Linked DNA regions of Zea mays. The protein of the gene in region 1 binds, or shares a complex with, the protein of each later gene. Links are inferred from orthologs where the notes say so. Each region holds a gene or a part of one and is shown in the gene's direction. Other genes may lie near its edges.

What was found.
Region 2: general transcription and DNA repair factor IIH subunit TFB2 (region 1) and General transcription factor IIH subunit 2-like share a complex: the UniProt entries of both Arabidopsis thaliana proteins name them as parts of the 7-subunit TFIIH core complex. The link is inferred for Zea mays from reciprocal best matches to the Arabidopsis thaliana genes AT4G17020 and GTF2H2.
Region 3: general transcription and DNA repair factor IIH subunit TFB2 (region 1) and DNA repair helicase UVH6 share a complex: the UniProt entries of both Arabidopsis thaliana proteins name them as parts of the 7-subunit TFIIH core complex. The link is inferred for Zea mays from reciprocal best matches to the Arabidopsis thaliana genes AT4G17020 and UVH6.
Region 4: general transcription and DNA repair factor IIH subunit TFB2 (region 1) and General transcription and DNA repair factor IIH subunit TFB4-like share a complex: the UniProt entries of both Arabidopsis thaliana proteins name them as parts of the 7-subunit TFIIH core complex. The link is inferred for Zea mays from reciprocal best matches to the Arabidopsis thaliana genes AT4G17020 and AT1G18340.
Region 5: general transcription and DNA repair factor IIH subunit TFB2 (region 1) and REX1 DNA Repair family protein share a complex: the UniProt entries of both Arabidopsis thaliana proteins name them as parts of the 7-subunit TFIIH core complex. The link is inferred for Zea mays from reciprocal best matches to the Arabidopsis thaliana genes AT4G17020 and AT1G12400.

What each region holds. Positions count from the first base shown.
Region 1 is NC_050097.1:1,588,783-1,593,315, reverse strand, and holds the start of general transcription and DNA repair factor IIH subunit TFB2, read left to right. Parts: upstream 1-1,437; 5' UTR 1,438-1,916; intron 1,917-2,397; exon of another isoform or gene 2,398-2,942; coding exon of another isoform or gene 2,943-3,018; exon of another isoform or gene 3,019-3,024; intron 3,025-4,533. Other genes in the region: uncharacterized protein, read right to left, coding at 2,943-3,018. UniProt on the Arabidopsis thaliana protein: Component of the general transcription and DNA repair factor IIH (TFIIH) core complex, which is involved in general and transcription-coupled nucleotide excision repair (NER) of damaged DNA and, when complexed to CAK, in RNA transcription by RNA polymerase II.
Region 2 is NC_050097.1:31,349,267-31,353,917, forward strand, and holds the start of General transcription factor IIH subunit 2-like, read left to right. Parts: upstream 1-1,475; 5' UTR 1,476-1,495; coding exon 1,496-1,816; intron 1,817-3,857; coding exon 3,858-4,319; intron 4,320-4,399; coding exon 4,400-4,651. UniProt on the Arabidopsis thaliana protein: Component of the general transcription and DNA repair factor IIH (TFIIH) core complex, which is involved in general and transcription-coupled nucleotide excision repair (NER) of damaged DNA and, when complexed to CAK, in RNA transcription by RNA polymerase II.
Region 3 is NC_050105.1:91,196,209-91,200,731, forward strand, and holds the start of DNA repair helicase UVH6, read left to right. Parts: upstream 1-1,208; 5' UTR 1,209-1,433; coding exon 1,434-2,257; intron 2,258-2,400; coding exon 2,401-2,483; intron 2,484-2,578; coding exon 2,579-2,982; intron 2,983-3,071; coding exon 3,072-3,265; intron 3,266-3,552; coding exon 3,553-3,733; intron 3,734-4,358; coding exon 4,359-4,483; intron 4,484-4,523. UniProt on the Arabidopsis thaliana protein: ATP-dependent 5'-3' DNA helicase, component of the general transcription and DNA repair factor IIH (TFIIH) core complex, which is involved in general and transcription-coupled nucleotide excision repair (NER) of damaged DNA and, when complexed to CDK-activating kinase (CAK), involved in transcription by RNA polymerase II.
Region 4 is NC_050099.1:247,469,935-247,474,031, reverse strand, and holds part of General transcription and DNA repair factor IIH subunit TFB4-like, read left to right. Parts: exon of another isoform or gene 1-1,098; intron 1,099-1,117; coding exon 1,118-1,194; intron 1,195-1,374; coding exon 1,375-1,470; intron 1,471-4,097. UniProt on the Arabidopsis thaliana protein: Component of the general transcription and DNA repair factor IIH (TFIIH) core complex, which is involved in general and transcription-coupled nucleotide excision repair (NER) of damaged DNA and, when complexed to CAK, in RNA transcription by RNA polymerase II.
Region 5 is NC_050101.1:47,599,255-47,602,736, reverse strand, and holds REX1 DNA Repair family protein, read left to right. Parts: upstream 1-1,439; 5' UTR 1,440-1,625; intron 1,626-2,087; 5' UTR 2,088-2,117; coding exon 2,118-2,152; intron 2,153-2,254; coding exon 2,255-2,432; 3' UTR 2,433-2,671; downstream 2,672-3,482. UniProt on the Arabidopsis thaliana protein: Component of the general transcription and DNA repair factor IIH (TFIIH) core complex, which is involved in general and transcription-coupled nucleotide excision repair (NER) of damaged DNA and, when complexed to CAK, in RNA transcription by RNA polymerase II.

The sequences.
Region 1 (4,533 bases):
ACGTGGCACACACCGGACAGTGAACAGTACCTGTCCGGTGCACCACCGGACTGTCTGGTGTGCCCATCGCCAGCAAAAACAACCAACGACTAGGAAGTGGTTGGAGGCTATAAATACCCCCAACCACCTCCTTAAATGGCATCCAAGTTTTCTGAACTCTACATTCATTGCAAGAGCAAAGCCAAACACTCCAAGACGCATTCAAAACATTCAATCCACTCCAAGCTCCTAAAATCAACTCTAGTGCTTAAGAGACTTGTGAGAGAAATATTTGTGTTCTCTTGTTGCTTGGATTGCTTTCTCCTTCTCTATTCTTATTCTCATAAGTGCTTTGTAAAGTTAGCAAGAGACACCTAAGTGTGTTGTGATCCTTGCGGGGTCTTAGTGAACCAACTGATTAAAGAGAAGGCTCGACCGGTCTATGTGACCGATTGAGAGGGGAAAGGGTTGGAATAGACCCGGCCTTTGTGGCCTCCTCAACGGGCACTAGGTTCTTTGGAACCGAACCTCGGTAAACAAATCATCGTGTCCACTTGCATTGATTCTCATTTGATTTGTTCCCCTGTTTCCTCTCTCTAAAGTTCCCTTGTTCATATTGATTTGAGTTTGCTCCCAAACGTCATTCGCATTGATTGAGCAACTCTAAGTCAGGAGAGCTATCTTTCGAATTCCAATTTAATTCTAATGCTAACCCCGACCTTAGTGCAAGTTTAAGTTTATAAATTTCAGGTTTCACCTATTCACCCCCTCTAGGCGACTTTCAACATATTTGTAGATACACGTTAACCCACTCTATTGACCGACAAATAGAAAAAAGATGTTTGTCTTTCAACTCAACATTGAGCCTCCTCGCAATGCCAAACTGTTCAAGGACCATGGTCAACCAAAAAAACCAGTCTCTTCAACTAGGGGCAGATCTAAGGGTTTATTTGGATCTCACGAGCTAAAGCAAAAAATTGACTAATTTTAATCATTTATGAGTTAAACTTTAAAGATGACTATTTTTAATCATTTAGGAGTTAAACATTTAAATATGAAGAGCTAAAAGTGACTATATTTAAGACCTATTTGGAAACACTCGTTTTTTTTAAAAATTGGTCTATGAAATCGAGGTGGTTCCAAACATACTAGTTTTTTTTTATAATTTATAAAAGTTGGATTCTCAGTTTCTTAAAACTAAGAAGCTAGTCTCCCCTAGCTAAAGGCAGTTTATAAGAACTGATGTGGTTTCAAACACTACTATCTAGTGCTTTTAAACCAGGTTTCTAAAAACTAGAATCTTAAAAGTTAGGTTGCTTACAAACATGCCTTTAGTCACTTTTAGCTCATTATGTTTAGATCTCTAACTCCTAAGTGACTAAGTACGTGTTTGACATAGTTCTAGAGCAAAACTTTATTGAGAAACCGACCAACGTCTGTCAAACACTCTAGCTTCAGAGTTGCAAACTACGTAGAGTTTTAAAAACTATAGTACAATTTTTTAAAGTACCTATTTTACTACTCAAAATCTCTAAAAAACAATCTAAACAATTTTTAGAGTACCTATCACTGCCACTAGCCATGATAAAACAATCTAAATTATGATACAAAACTAATATATCTAGAGTTTTTTTAAATAAAGCTGCTCTAAAATAAAACAGAGTCATATACCAGACACACCCTAAAATAATTACTTCGCCTCGAGGAGCAGGATATCGCCCAGCCGCCCAGGGCCTAGGCCACCGTCAGCGCCGCCCGCCTCCATCTCCGCCCCGAGCGGCTGCGCCCCGCCCGCCGCCCGCCCGCAGTCCACCAGGCGTCGAGCCCCGCCCCGGCTCGCGCGCGTCGAGCCTCTGTCCGGCCCCGGCTGCAACCCACTCACTCAGCCAGACCTGGCTTCTCTGCAGACTGCAGGTTCTCAGTTTCTCTTATAACAGGTATTTGATCTGATTCTTTAGTAGCCTACTTTTCTTTTGTGCTTGTTGGACCGCAGCCAGTTAAAGTCTAGATGGCAATATCAGTATGCTTGCTTATAGCCTCTGGGGCAGCTGGTCACTGTATACTGTACAAGAGTAAATTTGTTTGTTCTTCACTAGTTTTCTTTGTTTGTTGTTCACTAGATATCGGTGTTTGTCGTTATAATTTCAGGCTCTTAGACTAAGCACAATGAGTGTCTGTTCTTGTAGTTTATAGTGAGCCTTGAGCACCATAGTTCCTGTATCTTATCGCGTCTTATCGCGGAGAAAATTGAATTTATGTCATTATTGTAAAACTTAAGATTCGCTCAAATACTATTATAGAAACACGTTTAGCTAAAAAACCATTATCAAACGTTGTCTTACAAATAAAATATCATTTAAAGGTTATTTAAAACTTAACCTTATTTAATTATATTGGCAGCCAGTAACCGCAGTAACCGGACACTTTTGCCCTTCGAACTAAAAGCGCCTGCATCTCAAACCCGACGGCGCTCTCTTCTCTATCCTCTGTGTCCCCTCCACCAAAACCGACGACGACGTCGCTCTCCTCCACCGGTGCTCGGCGCTCTCCCTCCACCAGCGGTGGTCCACAGACGCTCGGCGAGCTCCACCGGCGGGCGCTGGCGGCTGGTCAGATCCGCTCGGCAGTCATCCATCTGGCACATCGGGTAGCTCGCGCCTCCGTTGGCAGTCCCACCGCCGCCCGGCCCTCCCCCAGCGCCCCCGGTGATCCGGACCGCACCCGCTTACTCGGCCTAACGACCGGCTCCTGCCCCGACGCAGCCGAAGCTCCCAGCGTCCTCCTGCAGGCCGAGCTGAAGGTTCAGCGCGCCGGTGGAGTTAGACGACGAAACTCCGTCACGTCATACCTCTCCGCCTCCCGTCTTCCAGACGTCTCTAATCGGGGTCCCAGCGTCTCGGAGAAGAGGAGCAGCACGGCACGGCAGCTGTGGCGAGGAAGGCTCCTGTCCCATCCCAACCCAGTTAGCAGCCGCCCAAGGAGGAGGAGATCCAATCGGCGTGCGGGCGTCCGCGGTCCATCCATCGATCCAATTCCAATCTGCAGGTGAGCAGCTCGGTTAGATTCCCAATCAACAGCTCGAATCGCCTGCTATCCCATCCTATTGAATGAAACTATGATATAGAATTGGTTTGCCTAGTTATTATCTCGAATTAATTTATAAAGATCTCCACTGGTTCGATTTGATTGTTTCTTCAACTAGTGGCATATTGGTCTGGTCTGCTTCTTACGTGATTCAACTATGCATATTGGTTCGATATGAATATGGCCATTTGCAGTTTTTCTAGCGTTTGCTAATGAACGCCTCTAAAGGTGGCTGTTGCACTTGCAGTAGGATTACATTTGTGTGAAATCGAATGGTTGGTGATCTGTTGTTGACTGGTTAAGAGTGCTGCCAAAGTTTTAGTTTAGAGACCTGCTGCTCGGTGTTCGCCGTATCCCATCGCGTGTTAGCGACTGCCGACTGTGTTCTGAATTTGTCGGGGGAGGGAGAACGGCGAACAGATTTGATAGGGGCAAAAGTGTCCGGCCACTAGCTGCCAATATAATCAAATAAGGTTAAGTTTCAAATAACCCCCCAAATGGCATTTTGTCTGTAAGACAACGTTTGATAATGGTCTCTTAGCGAAGCGTGTTCCCATAATGGCATTTGAGCGAATCCTAAGTTTTATAATGGCATAAATCCACTTTTCTCCTTATCGTGGGAAGTCTCTCCTCCTATCGGGGTTTGGCAGAGCTAGTTCATCTCCATCCAACCATTCTCATTTTGTCATGTGTTCTTCGTCCGCTTGTCCATTCATTCATCCCGCTTTCCTGTTGCCATCACGGCCCGCACCCTCCTCCTCCTCCCCTGTCCCTCGTGTCGCCCCGCCGCTCCCCTTTCCAGTCGCGACGACGCCATCCTACCCAGCCGCAAGCGCTGCCATCGTCCTTCCTGGTCCCACTGCTGCTATCTCCGGGCGTGAAATGAAGATTCAACACCCGCGACCGCGAGGCCTTGACTCTAGCTGTCTGCCTCGCCTCGCTTTGCGCTGCCACCGCCACACTATCCCCCGCTGCTCTGTGCCCCGTCTTCTGCTCCTCATCCACTGCTGCGTGAGGGACCCAGTCACCCGCCGTGCCCATCTCTCCCCTGCCGACGTTCTAGGGATTCAGCCGCTGCTCACCTCCGCAGGGGCAGAGTGGCGGACATCCTTTTGCAGACTGTAGCACCTCCTCGTCTCGTCTTATTCAGTGTTGAGCACTGAGCCTATTTGGCATTGTACCTAGGCAATGGGAATCGCTATTTGCTATAACGCAGCTAGGGATGGCAATTGGACCCGTGGGTATGGATACCCACGGGTTTCGTACCCAATGAACATGGATACGGGTTGAAAAACTCACCCGTGGATCCTGTCGGGTGGGGTACCCGAAATACGTCGGGTAGGGTACGGATAATATATTTTATCCATGGGTATCCACTGGATATCCGAAATATTAATTCACAATTTCACATGTTGTGTTTTTGGCCCATGAAGCAAAGCAAAAAAGCCCAAAGGCATCCCGACGTGTGCA
Region 2 (4,651 bases), about 30 Mb from region 1:
ATTTACGCGCGTGTAGAGTAACGTGTTTGACTCATGTATGCCTTCCTTATTTTTTTTGCGCGCACAGATGTGGGGTTGGGGGGGGTGCACCCAACAGCCTGCTTAGGGTGTGGGTGGACGCGCTGGCCTGGACAAGTCACATAGGTGGTCGGGCGGGGCTTGCTCTAACTATTTGAAGCTCATGACTTCTAATATACCGACCTTATATATACACACACTAGCCAATTGCTCGTGTTTTGCTACGGTTGTTATTTACCTTATAAATAAGTATTGATATATGTATTCAAATATAATTATTGTTTATTTGTAAATATTAAGATACGCGTGGTCTGGTGGTTAGCCCCAAATTTCTGGAATAGAGAGGCATGGATTCGAGTGATCGTTTTGCACTATTTTTTGCACGTGGGGCCCACAGAGCACGACACCGAGGTAGGGCACGTGGGACGGGGCTAGAGTGTGAGCGCAGAGGGTGCCCACACTAGCACGCTAGTCGCACGTCAGCCACTATTCTCCATGAATCATGAAGGGAAACATGGACCTAAGGCTATCTGCAGCGGTCTTCTCTAAATTTCTCTCCATATATCACTTTTTTTTGTTACATCTTCAATATTTCAGCCCTTTAACTTTTCATCTCCCGCAGCGGTCTCTCCTATTTTCTCCCCTTGTAACTCACTACAACCATAAAATATTATTTCATATATTATTTTTTATCCACTATTAATTTTTCTTATATTAACAATTAGAGCCGAATCCAGATTACAGTAAAATAGAGAAGACGAGCGCACGCTACATTCAGTGGAAAAGAGAAGAGGACGGCACGCCCTTGCATCGTGGGAGGCACCGTAGACGTAGGGGCAGCGCTGCGGACTGCCGTGCGCCGTCATGTGTAAGGGGATGGGGCGCGACGCCCGGCAGCCGCTGCAGTTAGCCTAAAGTCGGCCTACACGTCTCCTCAACTTCAGCCGCCTGCTCAGTTGACAAGTTCAGAGCACTGTTTAAGTACTTTGTTGCTGAGCTGACGGAAGGAAGCAGAAATCAGATAACCACTGACTGGCAAATGTCGTCTGATGGTTGGTAGCACATGTTTCGTTGACCCATTTTCCATCAAGGATGGCATAGAGAGAAAAAAAACGAAGTGTAAACTCTTGAAGTCAGCACCACTTGCATTCTTATGTTTTGGTTGCTGTGTTCTAAACTATCTATTCAGATGTCTCCTGTATACATTTTCTTTACTCTGATATACCGGTATTTCTATATTCCGCTGCTTTTTTTTTTTTGCATTCCTCTATTTTGAATGCTCCTGTATCAAACAGATGCTTAGAAAATTGGTAAAAGGGGCTTAAGGCTCCTGTAAACCAAACCAAAAGCCCAGGAGCCCCAAACTGGAGGCACCAAGCACCCGCCTGGCCCATGTGCTGGTCCCCGAATCCCGACCTCGCCTCCAGTTCCACTCTTCCGGCGGCGTCGGCGGCCGCCCCTTCCCCACGCCCACACCATGTACGGCGTCGGCGGCGGCTTCAACGCGCCCTCCACCGCTGCCTCTCGGCGCCGCAACCCAGGCGACGAAGAGGAGGACGAGGAGGATGAGGGCGGTGAGGGCCGCGTCCTGGAGGCGTGGGAGCGCGCGTACGCGGACGAACGGTCGTGGGAGTCACTGCAGGAGGATGAGTCGGGCCTCCTCCGTCCCGTCGACACCAAGACCCTCGTCCACGCGCAGTACCGCCGGCGCCTCCTACTCCGGTCTGCCGCCGCCGCCGCTGCCCGCATCCAAAAGGGGCTCATCCGCTACCTCTACATCGTCATAGACCTCTCCCGGGTTCGTTCCCTTTGCTTCATGTTCTCTTTCGTTCGGCTTGCCACATCATCAAGCACCTGGCGAGCATATTTTTCTTCGAAGTCGGTTTGGTTGTTTTGGACCCGACAGACTGGTACAAATGCCGATCGTGCTAACTTGACACCGGCTTGTGATTGCGATCTCTTGTTCCGAGAGAGATGTGGCATTGCTTACGGCCTTACTTATGGGCTACACATTTGGTTCTTAAGTGTTCACTTACTTAAGGCATGAACGGAGCAGTGAATACTAGGACTGCCTTTTGCTAGTTTCGTATACCTGTAGGTTCATCTATAAGCTTGTGAAATGTTGTGAAGATGGTGCGGTGATGCCTGTCTGTGAGTAATCCTGGTTTATTTGTTTGTAGAGCGATGTAGGTGATATGATCTGATTGGTTGCCTTTAATGCCGTTTGTTTAGCCCCAAGCTGTGACCATTATCTTATTTGGCTTGTACATTCAGAGGGTGATGCTGTAATTGGAAGACACGAGGCCAATTTTAGAATCTAATGCTGATTTAGCAACTTTAAGATTGAGTCTTTGAGAGATCAATCATTTTATGTGAGGAAACAGTTTGTTAGATGGGTAAAAACGGTATTTTGGAAATTCTAAGATCTACCATGGTTTGTATCCATGGCCCATTGGCCAGGGCATAGGTATGGAGAACTCGAGACCTAATTCTCCACTAAATCCAGAAACCAATGCTACCTTAAGGTTATACGGTAAGAATTTCTGTACTGCAGAATAATAGACTCATGTCTATGAATCATGAAGGGAAACATGAACCCAGGTATTTGCAAATTGCAATTGTTAGTATTGCTGTTGGCAGCAATATTTTGTTTGGAGTTCAAGCCTACCACAACCAAGCAGTCCAAGTTCAATTTTATATGTGTGCACACCAATTGGATTGCTGAAACAAAATGTTGATGACACAATACTTGTTTGGAATTTTCATATATTGAGATTGGATTATCGTTTCATTTTATGCATGAGGTTCTTATCGGATGAATCCTGTTAAATTCTGAAATGTTTTAACTTTTAAGCATACTTTCTGATCTGGATACACTATGTATATTTGATATATGTCGGATAGAGTGAATGTCTCATGTCTCCCTCATCAAACAGACTATTTTTTTTTTCATCAGTTTGAAGGTGTTCCTGGGGAGGGTTATTGCTATTGCTGCCTGGATATGTCTGAAGATGCTTTTTTAATTGTTTCCCCACATCTGGGAAGTTAATTCTCTCTGTCAATCCTTGTATAGATTTCTGTAGAGAAGCAAATCACGTGCCATATGGTTTTGTTTTTACCATTGGCATGGCTTGCTCCAACAAAATCCTGACATCACAAGAAGTGCATGAACTATGGTTGCAGGAAAAGGTCTTTAACAATTACCACATAGTTGATCTATGGAACACTTCTATATGTAGACACAAAATATAGACTACTCTTGGAATTTAAAAATAAAAGGATGTTTTCATTTTTTTTGGTATTGATCCAGACCCTATGGATTTGCACAAATGAACAGTTAATCTTCACTGATGAATTAGGTAGATATGGAATTATTTGATACATGTTCATTTGACTTATGGTAACATTATTCCAGGACTTACTGCAAAGAGTCATCAGGATGTGATAATTTATTTTTGTTGTTAAAAATGTGCAAAGAATAATGTCTATTCAGCTGATTGTATATTTTATAATGTCAATTGAGATTTGAGAATGAAACAATCAAACACTGCTTTAACTAACATGGATTTTTTTTCTGATATGACAAAGCATACATTTTGATTTTTGTATTGTTTCGAAACTGCACATTTCTCGTAAAAAATATCTCTCTAACATCCTTGTCAATTGTTTTTTTCTCTGGTAATTTTATAACCTTATCTTTGAGCATGCATACATGTTTCAAGTTTATAAGATTGGCTTCCTCAGTTGTTTTTGTGGCAGCGAAGAATTGTTCTACTTCAAATAATCATTACACGCTCTTTGCACCTTTGCGTTCTCAAAATTGTTTTTTACTCATGTAGGCGGCTTCAGAGATGGATTATCGTCCTAGTCGAATGGCTGTTGTTGCAAAACATGCTGAGGCTTTCATAAGAGAATTCTTTGACCAGAATCCATTGAGCCATGTTGGCCTAGTGACAATTAAAGATGGTATTGCCCATCGACTTACAGAAATCGGAGGGAGCCCAGAGTCACAGATTAAGGCTTTGATGGGGAAGCTTGAGTGTTCTGGTGATTCATCCCTGCAGAATGCTCTAGACCTCGTACATGGTTATTTAGATCAAGTACCATCATATGGTCACAAGGAAGTTCTGATTTTATACTCTGCCCTGAATACATTTGATCCTGGTGATATCACGGAGACAATAGCAAAGTGTAAGAAGTCAAAAATTAGATGCTCTGTTATTGGTCTTGCTGCAGAGATCTTCATTTGCAAACATCTATGTGAAGAGACTGGTGGATCTTACACAGTTGCACTGGATGAGGTGCTAAGATGTAATTTTGATTTTACCTTTGATTATTCGATCGTTATGAAAGATTAACGGCATTTCCTTTCTTTTTACAGTCTCATTTCAAAGAGTTGTTACTGGAACATGCTCCCCCACCTCCTGCAATAGCAGAATATGCTGCAGCTAATTTGATTAAGATGGGCTTTCCACAGAGGGGTGCTGAGGAGCTTATCTCTATTTGCTCTTGTCACAAGAAGATAAAATCTGGGGCTGAAGGTTACATATGTCCTAGATGCAAAGTTAATGTCTGTGAGCTTCCAACAGAATGTCGAACTTGTGGTCTTACGCTAGTTAGTTCTCCACACTTG
Region 3 (4,523 bases), on another chromosome or scaffold:
GACCGCAGCTCTGGCCCAGGCACGACACACCGGCCCGTTAGCCCGTCGGGCCATTTGGTTAAATCAGCATAAAATGTTAAAAAATAGTGTCGAAGGTGGGGTTTGAACCCACGCCTATTGGAAGAATGGCGGGAGACACTAGGTGAAATCGTCTAACCAGTAGAACATCATACTCAGATGTTTTCAATATTGAATATAAATTGTACATGTGTATATATGCTTTTTTGTAAAATTAAAAATATATAATCGTGTCGGGTCGAGGCTACGGCCCAAGCATGGCACAACACTCATGTCGGGCTGGCCTAGACACTATTAAATGGGTCGTGCCTCAGACTAGCCCACCAGACACGACACATTTGATCATCTGTACCTTCGCACGATAATGATAGTACTCGACTCAGTTGTCACCACCTCGTTCGTCATCCTACTTCTTTTCTCTCTCCCCTCATGCCTCCGCCTCCGTGCCACCCCATTCTCGGCGGAGGGTGTGGAAGCAGACGCCTCCTCCCCATATTCGTCTGACACCAGCCCCTACACCGACCCACGCAGTGGCTATTGCACATCCATGAGGACGTTTCATAGCATGCGCGCACCATTGTTTTCGCCGCTGTCGGAAGTCTCGCTCGTCTTTCTGGCCTTCGCCATGTTCTTCCTCCCCAACCTGCTCCCCCGCCCACGGTTGCAGCCGCGAGCCGACCGACGCTCGTCGACACGAATATGGGGTGTGTCGGTCTTGCTCTTGGCCTTTCTCCGTGCGTGTTGCCGAGGAGGACACAATATTGTTGTGAGCCGTCGCAATAAAAAATTGTAAGATCTCTGTACGAGCCCAACCCAGAAGGTTGTACTTTAAATTCTACTCTAGGGGTACAAGGCCTGTTTGGTTCAACTTTTCTGAGAATCTGAATGTGGGGAGAATCTGGATGTGTAGAGAATTTGAGTATCGTTGCGATTATGTGCAAAGAAAGATGAATTTGTCTATAGGGCTCAGGATCTAGAAATTGACGGATTCCTATTATTGCAACGACTCAACCGATTATGTGTTTATATTGATTTCAGATGGTTTTACCAAAATTAATTTTATAGAAGCTAGCTAAAAAGTTGAGCGTTTAACCGTCCACAATAATTTTTGGTGGACAGAAACCGAAAAAACTGAAACAAAGAGGGCTATGAGTGGCCTTCCCACCCTTTGTATCGTTCATTCGTAGCCCGTAGCTCGCAGCCGACTCTGTTCTCTGTACCAGCCCAACCCAGAAGCCTATACTCGTTACGATTACGAGCCCACCAGCATCTCCTCTGCACGGGGGCATTCCACCGAGCACCTCACGTGATCTCCACCCCGCGGCGGCGGCGCGAGCACCGTCTCCGCCTCTCCGCTCTCCGGCGAATCAAACCCCTCCGGCGTTGCCCCTCGGTTGCCTTTCCCCTCCGCCACAATGCGGTTTGACCTGGATGGCCTGCCCGTGCACTTCCCGTACGCGGCGATCTACCCGGAGCAGCACGCGTACATGGGGGAGCTCAAGCGCGCCCTCGACGCGCGCGGGCACGCGCTGCTCGAGATGCCCACGGGCACCGGCAAGACGGCGGCGCTCATCTCCCTCATCACCTCCTACTCCCTCGCCAACCCGGCCCGCCCGCTCCGCCTCATCTATTGCACCCGCACCGTGCACGAGATGGAGAAGACCCTCGCCGAGCTCCGCCTCCTCTTCGCCCACCTCCCGCCCGCGGCCTCCCGCTCCCTCCTCGCGCTCGGCCTCTCCTCCCGCAAGAACCTCTGCATCCACCCGCAGGCGTCCGCCGCCGCCGCCCGGGACTCCGTCGACACCGCCTGCCGCCGCCTTACGGCCTCCTGGGTCCGCGAGAAGGCCTCCTCCGACCCGGACTCCACCCCGCTGTGCGAGTTCTACGAGACGTTCGACCGGGCCGCTGCCGCCGGCGACCTCGCCTCCTTCATGCCGCCCGGGGTGTACACCCTGGCAGACCTCCGCGCGCTCGGAAGGGAGCGCCGGGTCTGCCCTTACTTCCTTGCCAGGCAGATGGTCAAGTACGCCAATGTTGTGGTGTACAGCTACCAGTACCTGCTCGACCCCAAGGTGGCCAGCATTGTGTCCAGGGAGATGCAGAAGGAGTGTGTGGTCGTGTTCGATGAGGCTCACAACATTGACAATGTCTGCATAGAGGCGCTGAGCGTCAGCATCCGCAAGCAGACGCTGGAAGGCGCAGAGCGAAATCTGCGGCGCATCTCGCAAGAGATCGACAGGTACCACTCCCAATTGTTGGATATACTTAAGCCAGCCACCAATAGCCACTGAACGATAGGTCCTGTTTCTTTAGAACTATTCATCTTCAACTTTGTGATGGATAGTTAAGCTTGCTTTGCCAACTGCTTTATCTGGTAGGAAGGTTCAAGGCCACCGATGCCAATAGGCTTCGTGCTGAATACAACAGACTGGTGGATGGACTGGCACAGCGAGGAAATCTACCAAGTAAGCACTGGCCTTTTGCCACCAGTACTGCATTTCGCACTGTCAGCTATAGCCTTCTGCATATAGCTCACAGTATTATGCTTCTTGTGATGAAGTATCGGATGCTTGGCTCGCGAATCCGTCTTTGCCTGATGACATCTTGAAGGAAGCTGTTCCTGGAAACATAAGGAGGGCTGAACATTTTCTTGCTGTCTTGCGGAGGCTTGTGAGATTCCTTGATGGCCGGCTTGAAACAGAAAATGTTGAGAATGAAATGCCAGTTTCCTTTGTTGCCTCAATCCATTCCCAGGCTGGAATCGACCAAAAAATGCTGAGGTTTTGTTATGACCGGCTACACTCCCTAATGATGACATTAGAGATAACTGATACAGATGAGTTCATGCACATACAGACCATATGTGACTTTGCCACACTGATTGGAACTTATACACGGGGCTTTTCTATTATAATAGAGCCGTATGATGATAGAATGCCTGATATTCGTGATCCTGTTATTCAGGTACCCAGACTACTCTTTGTGATCATGCTGAAATTGTATACACACTCTGCTTCTTTAGTGTGCTACTAATGAACTCATTTGTTCTGCAGCTGAGTTGCCATGATGCTTCACTCGCAATAAGACCTGTTTTTGATCGTTTCGAAACGGTTGTGATCACTTCTGGAACTCTCAGCCCAATAGATCTTTACCCTCGTCTCTTGAATTTTAATCCTGTCATAAGCAGAAGCTTCACCATGTCCTTAACAAGAGATTGTATTTGTCCCATGGTCTTGACCCGAGGAAGGTATGAGCTGGTCCCACGCGAACTTCATATTTCAAAATCTACTGTACTGTAGCATGACACTTATGTTAAGCATGGCACTTATGTTAGTCTTTAAATGCTAGCATTGTCAACATATTCTTAGGTTTGGAAATGCTAACACTGTCTTGCGTATACATGATACATTTTTATTCCTGAGAATCATATGACACTTATGTTAAGCTTTTATAACATCTTTAGTTGTTTCCAACATTTCATATTACTGGTAGCATTGTACACTGTGTAAACACCAACCATTCCATCATCTTCAGTGATCAGCTACCTGTGAGTACAAAGTTCGATATGCGTAGTGATCCTGGTGTTGTGAGGAATTATGGCCGCCTCTTGCTGGAAATGGCTTCTGCTGTTCCAGATGGCATAGTTTGCTTTTTTGTCAGTTATTCCTATATGGATGGCATTGTCAACAGCTGGCACGAAATGGGAATTCTGCAGGTTATTTCTTTCACTTGTAAATTTCTTTCTCATATAAACCCTACAATTAATATAGATATGGCAATGAGGGATGTGTCTAATCGTGTAACACCTATGCAACTCAGCTAAGTTCATAAATCGTCCATATCTGTTAGATAATTGGGCATGTCCTCTGGAACATCATCGGTTTATAGTAAGTATATGAAATGGTGTCTAAGCATCTAATTCCATATTGTTGTCTGTTTTAGATTTTCCATTCAACTATCTATATTGATAATAACTTAATAAGACTATAAGTCTATAAGAGTCTCAAGTTGCATTAAGACTCACTCCTGTAGACACTGTCAAATTATTTATTACATCGGCAACATGCATAATTGCATATGGAACTGGATAGGCTGCTTTAAGTCTTTCCTTTGGTTCTAGATAGATGCTATCTAGTCTTTGGACAAAGAACTACATCTACCATATCTTCGGTTTTGTTATCTAAAGGATATGCTCGGTATTGGTGCTAATTTTTGTTATCCACAAAGATATGCTAGTCATCTGTGTTATGAAAATAAAATACCTGTAAATGTTATATAGCCAAGATAAGATGTATATGCATTAGTTCCAATAACGAAAACCTGGTTTTACTGTTTTTCAGGACATCATGCAACATAAATTAGTGTTTATCGAAACACCAGATGTCGTTGAGACAACATTGGCTCTTGATAACTACAGAAAGGCATGTGATTGTGGAAGAGGTGCCATTTTCTTCTCTGTTGCCAGGTTGGTCCACCTTATTATTTTGCGTTCTGAAAGCAACCTT
Region 4 (4,097 bases), on another chromosome or scaffold:
CCAAAGTAAAGTGATGTGAAGTTATCAGCAAACCTAAGATGTGTTTTTAAATCCTAGGCCCTGACCTTAAATCAGGCAGTGATGGGATGACAGGTAAAAGGACTCCACACCGCTAGGCTCTAGGCCTTAGTTCTTTTATTTCCTAGGACTAGGAGTCACAAGATGGCAGATGATGATACGGGAATCTATATCTATACTTCTATACTAATCTATTAAGAAGCTAATGTTGGCACCTATACTACCATGGCTTCACACTCCCCACACCCAGCACCCGTAAAAAATAGTGCAAAGCAAGCACTCGAACCCACACCCCTCTGCTCTAATAATTTGGGGCTAACCACCAGACTACATGTATTTTAGTGTTTAGAAATAAACAATAATTATATTTACAGCCTAGGCGCCGCCCCCACGCTACCCGCCTCGTGGCAACGCACAGACATATACCTAGTACTTATTATTATGATATTATTATTTTTATGGTCTTTTTGATAGAATAATATATTTTATAGTTGTATTGTGCTCTATATTTTCACACAATAGCGAAAGGGATTATCCTAGAACTTCGATCACACTAAATCTACTACCCTCTAAAACGTGATGACATTATTACCATTTTGTTATCATACCAATTGAAAATTTTATTTGCATTTATTTTCCTCATGTTTGGTTTGCTATTATAATTAATAAATCTGAGATCTTTTGCCTTTTGTGCTTTCCTGAACTGTGAATTAGACTAAGAGCTGTAGAAGTTTATTGGTCACTTCTGTATCCTTTGCAGTTCAGATCTTTGTTCTTGTTTGTTGTTTCACAATAAGTGCTGCAAACATTAATCAGATTATATCTTAGTCACTTCTTTTTATTTTTACATATGTCTAAGAGATTAGCCATGTCTGATTGACGGAACCAAGATCTAGTTGTTGTGCAGATGACTTTCTTCACTTTAGTATGGCAATACGGTGTCTTACTAGCGAAATTTGTTATTTGAATACCATATTATTTTGATACCATCTTCTTTTGTTTGTATACATAACTTTGTGTGGGCTTATTTGATTATTTGAAATAATTTATTTCTCTTTTAGTTCCTCGAGCTCATTGACACATTTCAACAATAATGTAGGCTGTATTTGCAACTGATTTACACTCTAGAGCTTTTCTGCGCCTTCCAAAAACTCTTGGAGTGGACTTCCGTGCTTCGTACGTTTCCTCTATTAACCATCAACACTAGACTAGACTTATCTTCCTTTTCTTTTTCTGTAATTTTACAATCAGGTCAAAGGCTGGTCCACATTAGCAACTCTAGTTCTGTTTTATTTCTTTCCGTGTCTAGTATTGGTGGCACATCAATGCACTCAGCATTGTTTTACTGATTTGCAGGTGTTTCTGCCATAAGAAGACTATTGACATGGGATATGTCTGTTCAATTTGTTTGTCAATATTCTGCAAGAATCAGAAGAAGTGTTCAACCTGCGGGTAAGTTTTATGTTCAAGTGTGTTTCCTGTCTGATGAGAGTCTTTTTTGGTACCTTTATTTGTTCCTATTAGAGTACCCGTTTAGGGTTTTGGGGTTAGTCCCTTGTAATTACCGTCACACCCTTGTGTAATGGGCCAGGCCCAATAACCTTGGTCCATTAATACATCACCTAACCCTGAGTTAGGATTAGGGTTTCCCATATGGTATAGAGCTAGGTTTCTTTTTCCACTTCTCTCTCCTTGAGTCCGATCTGGTTCCCCCTCCACCCCAGTTGCTCTTGCCTGCTTTTCCGTAGGCTCAGACGCCAACGCTCGCGCCTCTACCCGCCCCATGTGCGGCCTAGACGCCTTGCCTCGCGCCGTTACCCGCGCCACGCGCGACCTCGACGCCCTCGCTCGCGTCTCTTCCAACGCCACGCGCGGCCCCGCCTACGCCACGTGCGGCCTCGTTGACCTCGCCAGCGCCACGCGCGGCCCCATCGAAGAGCGCGCCCGCTTCGTCGACCCCGCTCTCGTCTACCACCGCCATGGGCAGGCCACTCTCTTAGCCCCCGTCGAACCAGCACCGTTGACGAGCGCGACTCGCTTCAACGACCCGCCCTCGTCTACCACCGCTGCGAGATGGCCCCTTCCTCCGCTCCTGACGACCCGCTTGCCCCCACCGAGCCTCCCGTGTACCATCCGGTCGCCATCCACTGCCACCCCGGGCACGTCCACCCGATGGTGACTCGTCACGCAACCGGCGTTCTCCGCGCCGTCGATCGGTTGATCCTGACGGCTAACGCTCCTCCGGACTCCTCCTCAGTCCCCTCCTCCGTTCGCGCCGCCCTCGCCGACCCCCACTATTGTCGCGCCATGGATAGGGATGTCAACGGGTATATACCCATCGGGTAGTACCATTCGATACCCATACCCATCAATAAAAATTATACCCGTCGGGTTACCCATATACACTCGCGGGCATAGAATCTTACCCATACTCGTACCCGCGCGGGTAATTTTACCCGTCAGGTAACCCGTACCCGCGGAAGGTCTCATTCTAATATTCTTATCACTTAGAATGTTAAATAAAGACACAAATATAAGTATCTTAAAATATATCAAACCATGTGATTACATAAATTAATAGTTAAACAAATAATATCTGGAGAATGATTTTCTTTTAGCTAAGATATGCTTTATTATTGACAATAATAGTATGATGCGGGTATATTTTACCCACGGTTACATGGGTATGGGTAGTACGCACCCATACTCGTACCCGTCTACCCAACGAGTAGAGATTATTACCCACTAATGTACCCACGTGCAGAGAAACCATCCCATACCTGCCAACATATCTGGTAAAACCCGTCGTGGTTTACGGGTACCCATTGCCATCTCTAGCTATGGAGGAGTACACGGCCCTGTTGGCCAACCACACCTGGGACCCGGTCTCGCATCTACCAGGCACCAACGTGGTCACCAGCAAGTGGATTTTTCGCCACAAGCTGACCTTGGATGGCTCTCTCGACCACTACAAGCCCCGTTGGGTCCTTCGGGGCTTCACCCAGCGCACCGAAGTCGACTACGACGAGACCTTCAGCCCCGTCATCAAGTTCGCGACCGTTCGGATCGTTCTCACCCTCGCCTGCTCCTGGGACTGCGCGATTCATCAGCTCGATGTCAAGAATGCCTTCCTCCACGACACTCTGACGGAGACTGTCTACTACAGCCAACCCACCGGCTTCGTTGACTCCGCTTGTTCAGATCTGGTTTGCCGGCTGAACCGCTCCCTGTACGACCTCAAACAGACGTCGTGGGCATGGTACAGTCGCTTCGCTTCCTACTTGGCCTCCATCGGCTTCGGCGAGGCCAAGTCGGACACGTCCTTGTTCATCTACCGGCGTGGACGACATCGTCTACCTCCTGCTCTACGTCGACGACATTGTGCTCACGACATCCATCGCCGACCTTTTACAACGCATGATCGACGCCCTTCAGCTAGAGTTCGCGATTAAAGATCTGGGGCCTTTTCACCACTTCCTCGGCATCACCGCCGAGCGCCGGCCTAAGGGTCTCTTCCTCCACCAGCGCAGTACACCATCGACATCCTGGAGCGGGTTGGCATGTCCGGCTGCAAGCCCTGCTCCACGCCTGTCGACACTGACGGGCCTCCAGTCGCCGACGCGACGTCCTACCGAAGCCTGACCGGAGCCCTCCAGTACATGACCTTCTCTAGGCCCGACATCGCCTATGACGTTCAGCAGGTGTGCCTGCACATGCACACCCCACAAGAGCCGCATCTCACCACTCTCAAGCGGATCCTGCGTTATCTCCGTGTCTCCCTCGACTACGACCTTCTACTTCGACCCTCCCCAACTTTGGAGCTCGTGGTCTACACCGACGCTGATTGGGCTGGCTGTCCCAACACGCGCCAGTCCACTTCTGGTTACACCATGTTCCTGGGCGCCAATCTCGTCTCCTGGGCCGCCAAGCGAGAGCCCGTCGTCTACCGCTTCGGCGCTGAGGCTGAGTACCGCGCTGTGGCCAACAGCGTGACAGAGGCCTCCTGGCTACGCTTCAACTGCTCCAGGAGCTCCACCGCCCCTTCCAGCGTGCCACCCTTGTGGGTGACAATGGGCTCT
Region 5 (3,482 bases), on another chromosome or scaffold:
CTAGGTAGAGATGGTAATGAAGTCCCGTTCCCCGCGGAGATATTACAAGACGGGGATAGTTACAATTTATTTCAATGAGGTATTAAAATGAGAAAGAATCATCTCCATCAGGTTTAGCGGGGACGAGTATGGTAGTCTCTTCTTCGTCCCTAATCCTCACGAGCCCATATAAACAGGCACTAAAGAATTCGGGCCATAGAATTAAGACTCAATGACCGACATATATAAAGTGACCAGCAAAGTGAGAAAACTAGCTTCTATTCTGTCATCGTCGCCGACTCGACTCTCTCGTTCGTCCTCCCAAATCCCAATCTCCCTCGAGCGGGCGGGCCAGGCAGCAGACCAGCTCTCCAGCGTGCTGGGTGCAGGGCTGCACCGCTACAAGCCGTGCAGCACACTGCACATCCCCTCAGGTTTGATTGTTTGAGACCGTCACAGTCATGTTCACCTGGAGGCTGGAGGCCGCTGGCCGCAGGTCTCTCACTCTCTTTGTCTCCTCAATTACTACTACCTAACACATCTTTGGTCACTTGTATTAGCAAATCTTGGGCAGCGGCACATCTGCACATGCCGTGCATTCATATAGCCACGTCCATGCTGCACGCACAAATTTTATTTTGTTTGATAATTACTTCCCCACCAAATGAGCTACGTTCTTGTCCAAAATTATAATAAATGCGCAAGTGATTTGCTGTGTGGTGGTGTGAAGCTCTGCGCGAAGTGATTTGTGTATTTTTTTCTCCTTTTTCATGAAATTTCGCAATTTAAGGTCATCTAATTTATTGGGTATGAGTACGACAGTTTAAGTATCAAATTTATGAATACCTAGTACCTAGTTAATCAGCAACCTTGCAGACCTAAAATATCCTAGATTTGTAGTAAGTTTTTCACCATCACCTTTTCAAAATTCTGTTACACAGTGTGGTTCCTCACTGAATTTTAAGTACTGTCATATGACAATTTGGTTCTGCTATTGCTGGACATAAATTTGTAATTCTCTGTTCACGCATTACACCGAACAACTACAGGGTACGGAGGGATTCAACGACAAACATAATAATCGCTTCTATTATTTTCGTAGGGGCAAGTAGGCCAGTCATCAACCGAGGTCAGCTGAGTCAGGAGAGGAGGAAGTGGCCCTCGGGTGTTCCATGATTCGTACGCAATTTTTTTTTTGGAAATTTAGATTCATACCATTAAAAGATCACCACTTTGGATCCATACCATTACTATCTCACTTATATATAGGTCCACATGAGTCAATGACATGTGTGATCCATGATATATATCTAAAGTTTGGATCTTTTAATGGTATAGATCTAATTGTTCTTTTTTTTTTTTGTGGACGGAAACTGCGGTGTCAAATTGCAAGAAATGGGTCGGACCGTGGGCTGTGAACATGGGTTTGGTGGGCGGGCGAAGAAGCCAGCGGGCCCAGCATCTTTATCGTCTGCCGCAAAGAGGGCTGAAGGAGAAGCGAGGAAAGGTGAGGCCGATAGATAGAGGAGCTGCGGCGCCGCCGGCGAGCGAAGAGTGGAGGATCCGATCCGAAGCGAGAGGACTGAATCCTGCGGCCGGGAGGGACGCGGGACCACGACGAGCGTCGTCGTCGGTGCCAAGCAACGGTGAGGCCGTCTCGGATCTGAACTTTTTTGTTTGGTTTTTTTCCCTCCCGTTCTGAATCGACATGGTGAGAGCAAGAGAGTTGGGAATTGGGACGGATCATGGAACTCCCCGAGGGCCACTTCTTCCTCCGACTCAGCTGACCTCGGTTGATGATTGGCCTACTTGCCGCTACGAAAATAATAGAAGCGATTATTATGTTTGTCGTTGAATCCCTCCGTGCCCTGTAGTTGTTCGGTGTAATGCGTGCACAGAGAATTACAAGATATCCGCTGAGATTATGCGCGCAAGAAAACGTGGAGCATCTTGCTGACCCTTTGTTCTGTCCTTCAACCAATCCTACAATCACTGCGACACCAGTCTATCACCTTCATGCGCGTCGTTTTCGTGCGAAAAGTTTGCAGTCCTGGTGCTGCTTCTTTGGTACTCCAACTGACGTTGTTTCTGTGTGGCGATGTAACCAGGCAGTTGTCCCTGTCCAGAGCACAGGCAAGATGGTTAACGCGATCAAGGGGCTGTTCATCTCCTGGTAAGCTCTCCTGACGCAGCTGAAAATGAATCCCTCGTTTGCATTTCTCCCTCTCTCCCTGCCTTTACATGGTTGCCGTCCGTCCGTCCCTCTATTTTTCAGCGACGTACCTATGGCACAGTTCATCGTCAACCTGAACGCGTCGATGCCGCCGTCGGAGAGGTTCATCGTGCACATGCTCGACCCTACCAACATGTTCGTGCAGCCTCACGTGGCGCACATGATCAGGAGCAAGATCGGGGAGTTCAGGGACCAGAACAGCTACGAGAAGCCGCAGTAGTGGAGGATCTACCGCGTCCTACACTCCTTCCTTGGGACTTGCTTTCGTTGCCTGTATTATTTCTGCTGTGAGCTGAGCACCTCAGCGGAAACGAGTACGCCAAATAGATCCCACCTGTGGCCTTGAAATCATACTGCTATGTGCTATAAACGTGCAGAGGGCACTGCTACTGTGCTGCACTTGTGGTATTCTGGGATTCTTTTTGTCAGGTCCTTAAAATCCGTTGAGAATTTGAGATCCAGATGGGGCTTAGACCCCGTTTCAATCTCACGGAATAAACTTTAGCTTCCTGCTAAACTTTAGCTATATGAATTGAAGTGCTAAAGTTTAGTTTCAATTACCACCATTAACTCTTCTGTTTAGATTATAAATGGCTAAAAGTAGCTAAAAAAAGCTGCTAAAGTTTATCTCGCGAGATTGGAACAGGGCCATAGTCACGTATATCTGTGCCTTTATTTGTATGTATCTTTGTCTTGCTATGGACAACAAAACTACGGTGGCACACTAACAGGTAGTTTGGAAATCCAAATCCTCTAGAGATCCCTATATTTTCCCTCGGTGAGTAATCCTAGGAACATTATCTGCATAAGGGCTTGCTTGAGAGCAATGATATTCAAAATTGAATAACATGAGAATTTTAGACTCTTATAAGCCCTTCTAGTATTCTTGCTCTCAAACAAACCCTAGGATTAGGGCTGGAAACGAGCCGAGCGGTGCAGCTCGGTGGCCGACCGAGCTCGGTTCGGCTCGTCTGTTTCACGAGCTGGAGAAACAGGCTCGGTTCAAAGGCGGCTCGCGAGCCATACCCTGATATTATATAATTTCATTATATAGTGAATTATTAGTATATAAATATGAAATATATAGATATCATTCATTATTATGAGTAATCTAAATTATTGTTTTTATATATCTATCATAAAACGCTAAGTAACTTACAATCTATAAAATTAGCTAATATCCATCATTATATCATTATTCTATATGTTAAGTAATTTGTCACAGCTCACGAGTCGGAACGAGCCGCTCGATGCTCGCGAGCCGAGCCGC